Linked DNA regions of Arabidopsis thaliana. The protein of the gene in region 2 interacts with the protein of the main gene of each other region in a pairwise test. Each region holds a gene or a part of one and is shown on either strand. Other genes may lie near its edges.

Evidence for each region. Proteins that work in one complex are often made in the same cells at the same time.
Region 1: the proteins of AT2G18876 (region 2) and NAD-ME2 interact in a two-hybrid assay, tested with the Arabidopsis thaliana proteins (one large-scale study listed by BioGRID).

Annotation. Positions count from the first base shown.
Region 1 is NC_003075.7:245,119-248,871, reverse strand, and holds the start of NAD-ME2 (NAD-dependent malic enzyme 2), read left to right. Parts: upstream 1-2,067; 5' UTR 2,068-2,192; intron 2,193-2,314; 5' UTR 2,315-2,349; coding exon 2,350-2,499; intron 2,500-2,607; coding exon 2,608-2,704; intron 2,705-2,786; coding exon 2,787-2,905; intron 2,906-2,979; coding exon 2,980-3,276; intron 3,277-3,377; coding exon 3,378-3,438; intron 3,439-3,519; coding exon 3,520-3,623; intron 3,624-3,701; coding exon 3,702-3,753. Other genes in the region: AT4G00580 (COP1-interacting protein-like protein), read right to left, coding at 60-159. UniProt on the Arabidopsis thaliana protein: Involved in the regulation of sugars and amino acids metabolisms during the night period.
Region 2 is NC_003071.7:8,167,556-8,171,308, reverse strand, and holds the start of AT2G18876 (Afadin/alpha-actinin-binding protein), read right to left. Parts: upstream 1,738-3,753; 5' UTR 1,627-1,737; coding exon 1,594-1,626; exon of another isoform or gene 1,505-1,593; coding exon 1,467-1,504; exon of another isoform or gene 1,395-1,466; coding exon 1,283-1,394; intron 1,203-1,282; coding exon 1,105-1,202; intron 729-1,104; coding exon 632-728; intron 558-631; coding exon 468-557; intron 342-467; coding exon 279-341; intron 200-278; coding exon 125-199; intron 35-124; coding exon 1-34. Other genes in the region: VEL3 (vernalization5/VIN3-like protein), read right to left, coding at 2,641-2,672, 2,852-3,331, 3,418-3,606.

The sequences.
Region 1 (3,753 bases), on a different chromosome or scaffold from region 2:
TTACTACAAAAAGTTACCAAACTAAAAAAAAAAAAAGGGAAGAGATTATGAAGAGTCACCTTTGAAAGAAGACACGCTATCATGACTGTCAAGGAGTAGCCCCAAACGGGTATCAATACTAGTCTTCACAAAGACACATTGCGAACCGGAATCAGCCATCAGTAAGATTATTGTAAGAGAAATGCAAAATAGGGTTTTGATGAAGTTGAGAAGAAAATGAAACTCCACTCTCTCTGTTTGATATTTATAAGCGAGTTTCTTTCGTAGAGGAATATGAAAAGCTTTATGTTTTTTTTGGGAAATCAAAAACGCTTAATTACTTGGGAAAACACAACGTGTAGGTCGATTCTCTCTTTTCATCGTCCTTTCGTCTTCTCTCTTTTGGTTTATGACTCATTGAAAGGGTTTGACCAGATCATAACTTCTTTCTCTATGGGCCAAATAAGTGGGCCTCACGTTATATGAAGACAGAGATTCTCTAAGGAAACCAGGAATACTAGGAATTGTTGAAAAGCAAAGCTATAAGGCGAGGAAGTTAGCTAAGGGCTTTTCACAGGACAATGGGTTGGAGCAGATGGATTTTATCAAGAGAGATGCAAGTCTATCTCAAGCAAAGAACCATAAATTTTCAAAAGACAAGTACCTGGTGTAGAATCATTGAAGAAACAGCTCCAAGTAATGCCGGTGTAGAATCATTGATCTAAAGTGAAGTGAAGTTTATGGTTTTCTCTTCATGAGCTAAAATGAAGTTGCAGGGAGAAGCTCGGGATCAATGGGTGCCTCAGACAAGCAAAGAAAACGGTTTAGTTTTCTGGTTTAAGCTCAAGTGGGAAATTGAGAAACTGACAACTACGTGTGTTTTGTAGTTACAAGTTACCTGAGCGGTTTTTTGCAGTCGTATAGACATCAAGACAGGGTTCGAAAGATTGTTCTTGTTGAGCTGCATTGCTGCAAGGTTTAAGAAATTCAAAACAGTGAGGAGATGTTGAAGATAAGTCACAGATGTCTTCAATGTTTAAGGTACAAAGAAAGTAGACAAGGCAAACAAAGTCATACATAGTTCTATTTCATGTACTTGAACAGGTTCTAAGATCAAACATCAGAGTGTATTAGAGAATTACCTGGGCCTGTGAAGAAGTTGCTGATGGAGTTAGAAACACCAAATATTTATTTATTAAAACACTAAGAACCATACATATATAGATTTCTCTATTTCCAAAAATAGAATTAACCATAGTCAAGATCTTTCTCAATGTAAAAGAAAAATACTAATATTTTTGTTTAGAGTTCAGACTACGTACGTAATATTTTTCATATCGTATATGAATTTTTATTCGAGTTTCTTTTTTACCTATTTGGATCGACAAAGAATTTTGGATCGAGTTTATTGGCCGACAAAAGACAATTAAGATTATAGTTATTTGTTAGTAGTATTTGATTATGAAATACCAACACATCTTGAATGTTTTCTTTATGTCAAAATAAATAAATAAATGCATGCATTCTTTTTTTTTTCCCTTGCCCTTAACTATGTTTAATTTTGCTGTGATCAAATTTATAGGATTCGAAATCTTGACATGAATGAATGGTAGGAAAAAAAAAAAAGCACTGTTTAAGAGTTAAAAGCTGACGGTGTCAAGTCGCCGCAGCGAATATTTTTTTGTAAAAGAATGGTTTACACTTAAAACACTCGAATCTCAAATTTATATATTACCTTTCCTTTTCTCTAATTTCTCTACTTGGTACTTTTTTTATTTTAGGAAGACGTAATATTTGTTACCAGAGGCACACGCATGGGTAAAAGCGGAAACACCAGAACGCGGATACACGTGTCATTGATCTAACGGTGAGTTAGCCAATATCCTTTGACCTCTAGTCTCATCACCAATATGCCTGGAAAATGATTCACAACCGTCCACGTGGCGATCTATATATCCACATTTACTTTTATACCCTCTTTGCCCGTTTTCCTTCGGGCAACTTCAGTTTTTGTTTCCTTGTATTTATTGACTTTTGAATAAAAGAATTATTTCTTCTTTACAATTTTAGAAAATTGGAAAGCTTTATTTATTGTCTGACCCTTTTACTATTCTTCGGGCAGCTGTTCTTAAAGACATCTTCCCTCTTCCTCAGACACAGCTTCTTCTACTGGAGAAGAGGAGGAGAACACAAATCCAATTCACACTGGAAACGTAAGAAGAAGCGATCAAAGCTTAAACTTCTCTTTGACTCATCATTGTTGTTCTCTCTGTTTTATTTTTCTTCTCAATTTCTTGTTTGAACTTGTGAAAATCATTGAATTGCAATTGTGTAGTGTTGGGTCGGATCCTGAGTGATATTTCGAGACCGATGATGTGGAAGAACATTGCTGGGTTGTCGAAGGCAGCGGCAGCGGCAAGAACACACGGATCTCGGCGGTGCTTTTCCACAGCGATTCCTGGTCCTTGCATCGTCCACAAGCGTGGTGCTGATATTCTTCACGATCCATGGTTCAATAAGGTTGTGTGTTTTATCCTCGATCTTCTGAATTTTAGGGTTCTAAAAATTGATTATAATGCTGATGGTTGTTGTTGTTATGGTCTCTCTATCTCTTTGGTGCTTTTGCAGGACACAGGTTTTCCTTTGACTGAGAGAGATAGATTAGGGATACGAGGCTTGCTTCCTCCTCGTGTTATGACCTGTGTACAGCAATGTGATCGTTTCAGTAAGTTTTGATTCCAAGTAAATCTCATTATGTTTCTTTCTATTGTTTCTGAGACTTTTGGTTTTGAAACATAATTTGGCAGTTGAGTCGTTTCGTTCGCTAGAGAACAACACAAAAGGAGAGCCTGAAAACGTTGTTGCATTAGCTAAATGGAGGATGTTGAATAGATTGCATGACCGTAATGAGACTTTGTACTACCGAGTGAGTCTTTTTGGCTCTAAATACTGTCCCACATTGACACATCTCTGAGACATCATAACTCATCTTCTCTGCAGGTTCTTATTGATAACATCAAAGATTTTGCCCCCATTATATACACTCCTACGGTTGGACTTGTTTGTCAGAACTATTCTGGTTTGTATAGAAGACCAAGAGGAATGTACTTCAGCGCCAAAGACAAAGGAGAGATGATGTCTATGATTTATAACTGGCCTGCTCCGCAGGTAGATATGATTGTCATCACTGATGGTAGCCGTATTTTGGGCTTAGGAGACCTTGGAGTACAGGGAATTGGGATTCCTATTGGAAAGCTCGACATGTATGTCGCTGCTGCAGGAATCAATCCACAGAGAGTATGTTGATCTCCACATGATCTTGTGTGTGTTTTTTTGTTTGCTGTACCTAACTAAGGTTTCACCTCCTTATTCAAAATTATACGCTTGTTCCTCTGCAGGTTTTGCCAATTATGTTGGATGTAGGCACAAATAATGAAAAGCTCCTACAGAATGATCTCTGTAAGCTGTGAACTTAATTGGTCCATGTGGTGTACATGTGTTTCCCTAATATCTCATTCGTCTGTCTTTCCCTTTGTACAGATTTAGGAGTCAGACAACCTAGGTTGGAAGGAGAGGAGTACCTTGAGATTATTGATGAATTTATGGAAGCTGCATTTACACGTTGGCCAAAGGCCGTCGTACAGGTATATATCTCTTACTATCTTCTTTAGATTTACCTTTCGGTTGGAAGGATGACTAAATGATTCATTCCATCATTTTAGTTCGAAGATTTCCAAGCGAAATGGGCTTTCGGAACATTGGAAAGATATCGGA
Region 2 (3,753 bases):
TCCCACTCCATGTTCCACGCTGTCTCCCTTCTTTCTGTGCATATATTTACAGGAAAATGTTCATTAGCGAAAGAGGATAGTCTAAGAAAACTCGATAATAGTTATTTCAAATCGCATATAGTACCTGGAGTAGATTCATAATCTCCATGCCTGATCTCGTTTCCTTCTTTTTCTCCATCAACACTTGGTTTAACCTCTCCTAAAACAAGATCAATTTTTAATTAATTAAGATTGAACCTATATTACAAACACTCTGAACTTGCTATGTGAACCCATACCTGTAACTTTATGTACTCTTTTTCTTTCTTTTTTGTTTCATGTAATTGTTGGGTCTTGACTTGCTTTCATACACAAACAATAACAAAATGTTCAAAAAGCATTGCATCAGCATTCCCAAATTCTTTGAAACATGATCCGCATCACAAAAAAACTGAGAATTCGAGCTGGTATTAAGCAACGATTCAAACCTGGTTAGCAATCACCATTCGTTGAAACTCATCTCTCTCTTTTTGAAGCTTCTCATTCTGCGTCTTTAAAGCCGCTGTATTTTTTGCTTCCTGACCAAAAAAAGTATGTCATGATCCATCATTACATGTTGTCCATATTCCAACCTCGGATATATATCTCTTACCGTTCTTGTCACCGAACCAAGTTCCCTTTCTTTAGCTTGCAATTGAGTCTCAAGCCTTTCAACTTTTGCTTCGAGTCTCGCCATATCGGATAAAAGTCTGAAGTAAACAAGAACTTGGTAAAAACAATGACATATCACATGCAGAAAGCTTCATAGATGCAACAAAAATGGCAATTTCAGTAACTTTATCTCAAGCATTTTTGTCTTCTTCTTTGCTCCCAAAAGAAGTTCACTATAACTATATTCTAAACACACATAAAACCAAAAACAGTAACAAAATCTAGATCACAGGGGTTTCATGTCTAAATCTAAACCAAAAACATATTCATAGCATGATCTATCTCACAGAGTCAATCTCATGCTTAAGAATGAACACTATCATAATGAAGCTACTAAATTAGTTTAACAACATCCATTAATTCACAATGCACATAGAAAAATCAACATTCAGATAAAAAAAACAAAATAGTCACCGTTGTCTCTGATCATTAGCAGATTCTCTAAATTCCACATCTCGTTGCCTCTGTTGAATCAAAGCGTATACGCAATTGCAAGTTCTAGCAATCGAAACCTAATACAAGTTCATCGAATCAGCTTCATCAAACAAATCGATAAACGAAAAAAAACAATTAGAGAATGATTAAAACGCACAGGATCGGTAGCGAAGAGGTCAAGCGAAGCAGAGAATCCAGAGGTGACTAAGCTCTGATTCAAATACTTAATACAGTTCTCCAGATTATCAACATCCGCGAAATTACGCTCCCTGATGGATACACAGAGTAAAAATCGAATCCAATCGGAGAACAAAAAACCTAGAAATGACGAGAAAACTCACCCGATCGGTGACTGTGAGAAACCAAACTGTGGCGTCAACTATAAAAGAAGCAAACACAACAAATGAAGCTTAAGAGAGATTTCGTGAAGCAGTGAGAGAGAATGATAGATAAAGAGAGAAGAATTACTCTGAAATCGAACTCCGGTACAGTCAATGACATCGATAACCGTCGTGTAGCCGCCGTGAAATTGACGCCGGAGATAAATAGAGAAAGAGACAAATTAAACTTTTTCACCAAAATCCAAAAAGATTAAAAAAGTGAGTCAAAAGCAGTGAATGTGTGTCTCTCTTGGATAGATCTATCTTGGGGAGTGAACAGACAATTAAATTAAATCATTTATAATTGGTTTGATTGTGTACGTAACGGTGCACTCAATGTATCCGTGTTTCTTCACGTGATTGTTTAGTGGTTCGATTTTTGCTTACGTGTATTATTATTAGTGGTCGTCTATAGTTTCGTTGGGTCTATCGCATTACTGAGAATAACTAAACAGCATTCAATAACTAACTTTGCTGAATTGTTGGGCGGGAGATGCCACGTAAGACTTAGCAACGTTTTTTACTCTAGCTAGTTCGTTGGAGTCGTGCAGAGCAATATCTTCGTCGTGACTCGTTGTGTATTATAAATTAAATTATGTATCATTTTTTGAAAATTGTAGTATATGTAACATTATACAAATATTATACTATTTGTATATATGCTAAATGTGAAATTGGGCATTGGTATACTCGACATCGCACATTTTGATATTTATGTGGCGTAATAAAGATAGCAACATAATTTTCAAAACCTCGTTAATAATTTTTTATAACATTTTCCAAGATTCTAAAGATGATCAACACAATTTTGATAAAGCAACCGATCAATTCTAAACTCATCCAAATCCAAAACCAAACTCTTTTAAAAAGAAATTGAAATTATATAAAAGTCGTAAATCCTTCACAATATTCATGGGGATTTGCTAGTCAAAATTTGCAAGAGATTTGCTAATTAACACTTTTGCAAATTTTGAAAGAGCTTTGTGAGTTTCTTTAGTTTGAAAGAACTGATTTGCGAGGATTGTTTTTCCTTTTACAACTCCTTAGCTAGTTATAGCCAATTTGCGAGGGATATATTGGTAAGAAATCCTTCTTTACAAATAGCTTGTTTTGATATGGTTATTATCTTGAACTTTCAACAATCGGGAAGAAAAAAAATACAACACACTAGAAAAAGAGAAAATCCATATCCAGCACCAAATTGTGATGTCCATGAAAATGCTAATGAAAAATTTTAAAAAAAAAGTTGAATTCTTTTTACGTGATCCCAAAGAAAAAAAAAAAAAAGACTGAAACTGCAAAGAATGCCTACATAATCTCTTCTAATCAATGTCGCGGCTTCTTACATGAGACACCACTACTGCCACCTCCATCGCGATCGCCAATCACAGAACCCTTGCTCCATATACAATCAGAGAATGTGTCAACGAGCTGCTCAGCCAGAGCCATTGAATCATCATTGAAAGCATTCATGAATGTCGTGACAGTATTTCTCTCCTGACTCGTAGCTCGTAGGCTAAACCAAGTCAAAAACTTTTGTCTAAAAGTGCTCTCAACATAACCTGAACACTCAAGCTTTCTTATGATCTTCACACATTGCTCAAGCCCTAAACCATAGCTTTCCGGATTCTTCTTCGCCTTCTCAGGTTTATCTTGATGGCCATTGATTTGGTCTGACATAAACTGAGGAGTGACGTTGGGGAAATTCTCCAAGACAGTTTCTTTTATGCCAAACTGATTTTCTCTAGAAGAAGTGTTTTGCTTCATCTGTCTTACATCAGAGTTGTTGAAGCAAACTCTTTTGCCTTGGCTCTTGGTTTCAGTTTCTAATGAAAAAATTGTTGCAATATAATGTGTGAGAAACTGAAAAATAGTGTAAATGAAAAATAACTTGTGTGAAACATGTTTTTACCTGAGGGTTGAACTGGAGTGTTATTACGCTTCCCATACGAACTTAAGTGCCGAGGCTTAGGGTTTTTCCTTCGTTTCTTTTTATCATCACTCAAATTAGAGTTACTTGCAGCTCCTGCGTGAAGTAAAATGACCCACCAATAGCTAATAGTAAAATGACCCACCAATAGCTTTTTTTTTTGACAAAAGACTTTTCCATTACCAAATTAAGCAAACAACAAATTGATCTTGAAAAGTAAAACACGATAATAAAAATTCACTAGTAAATTATGAGTAAAAGCATCACTATATATAAGCCGATCATCAAGAGTTGAAAAAGAAAAAAAAATCTCTAACA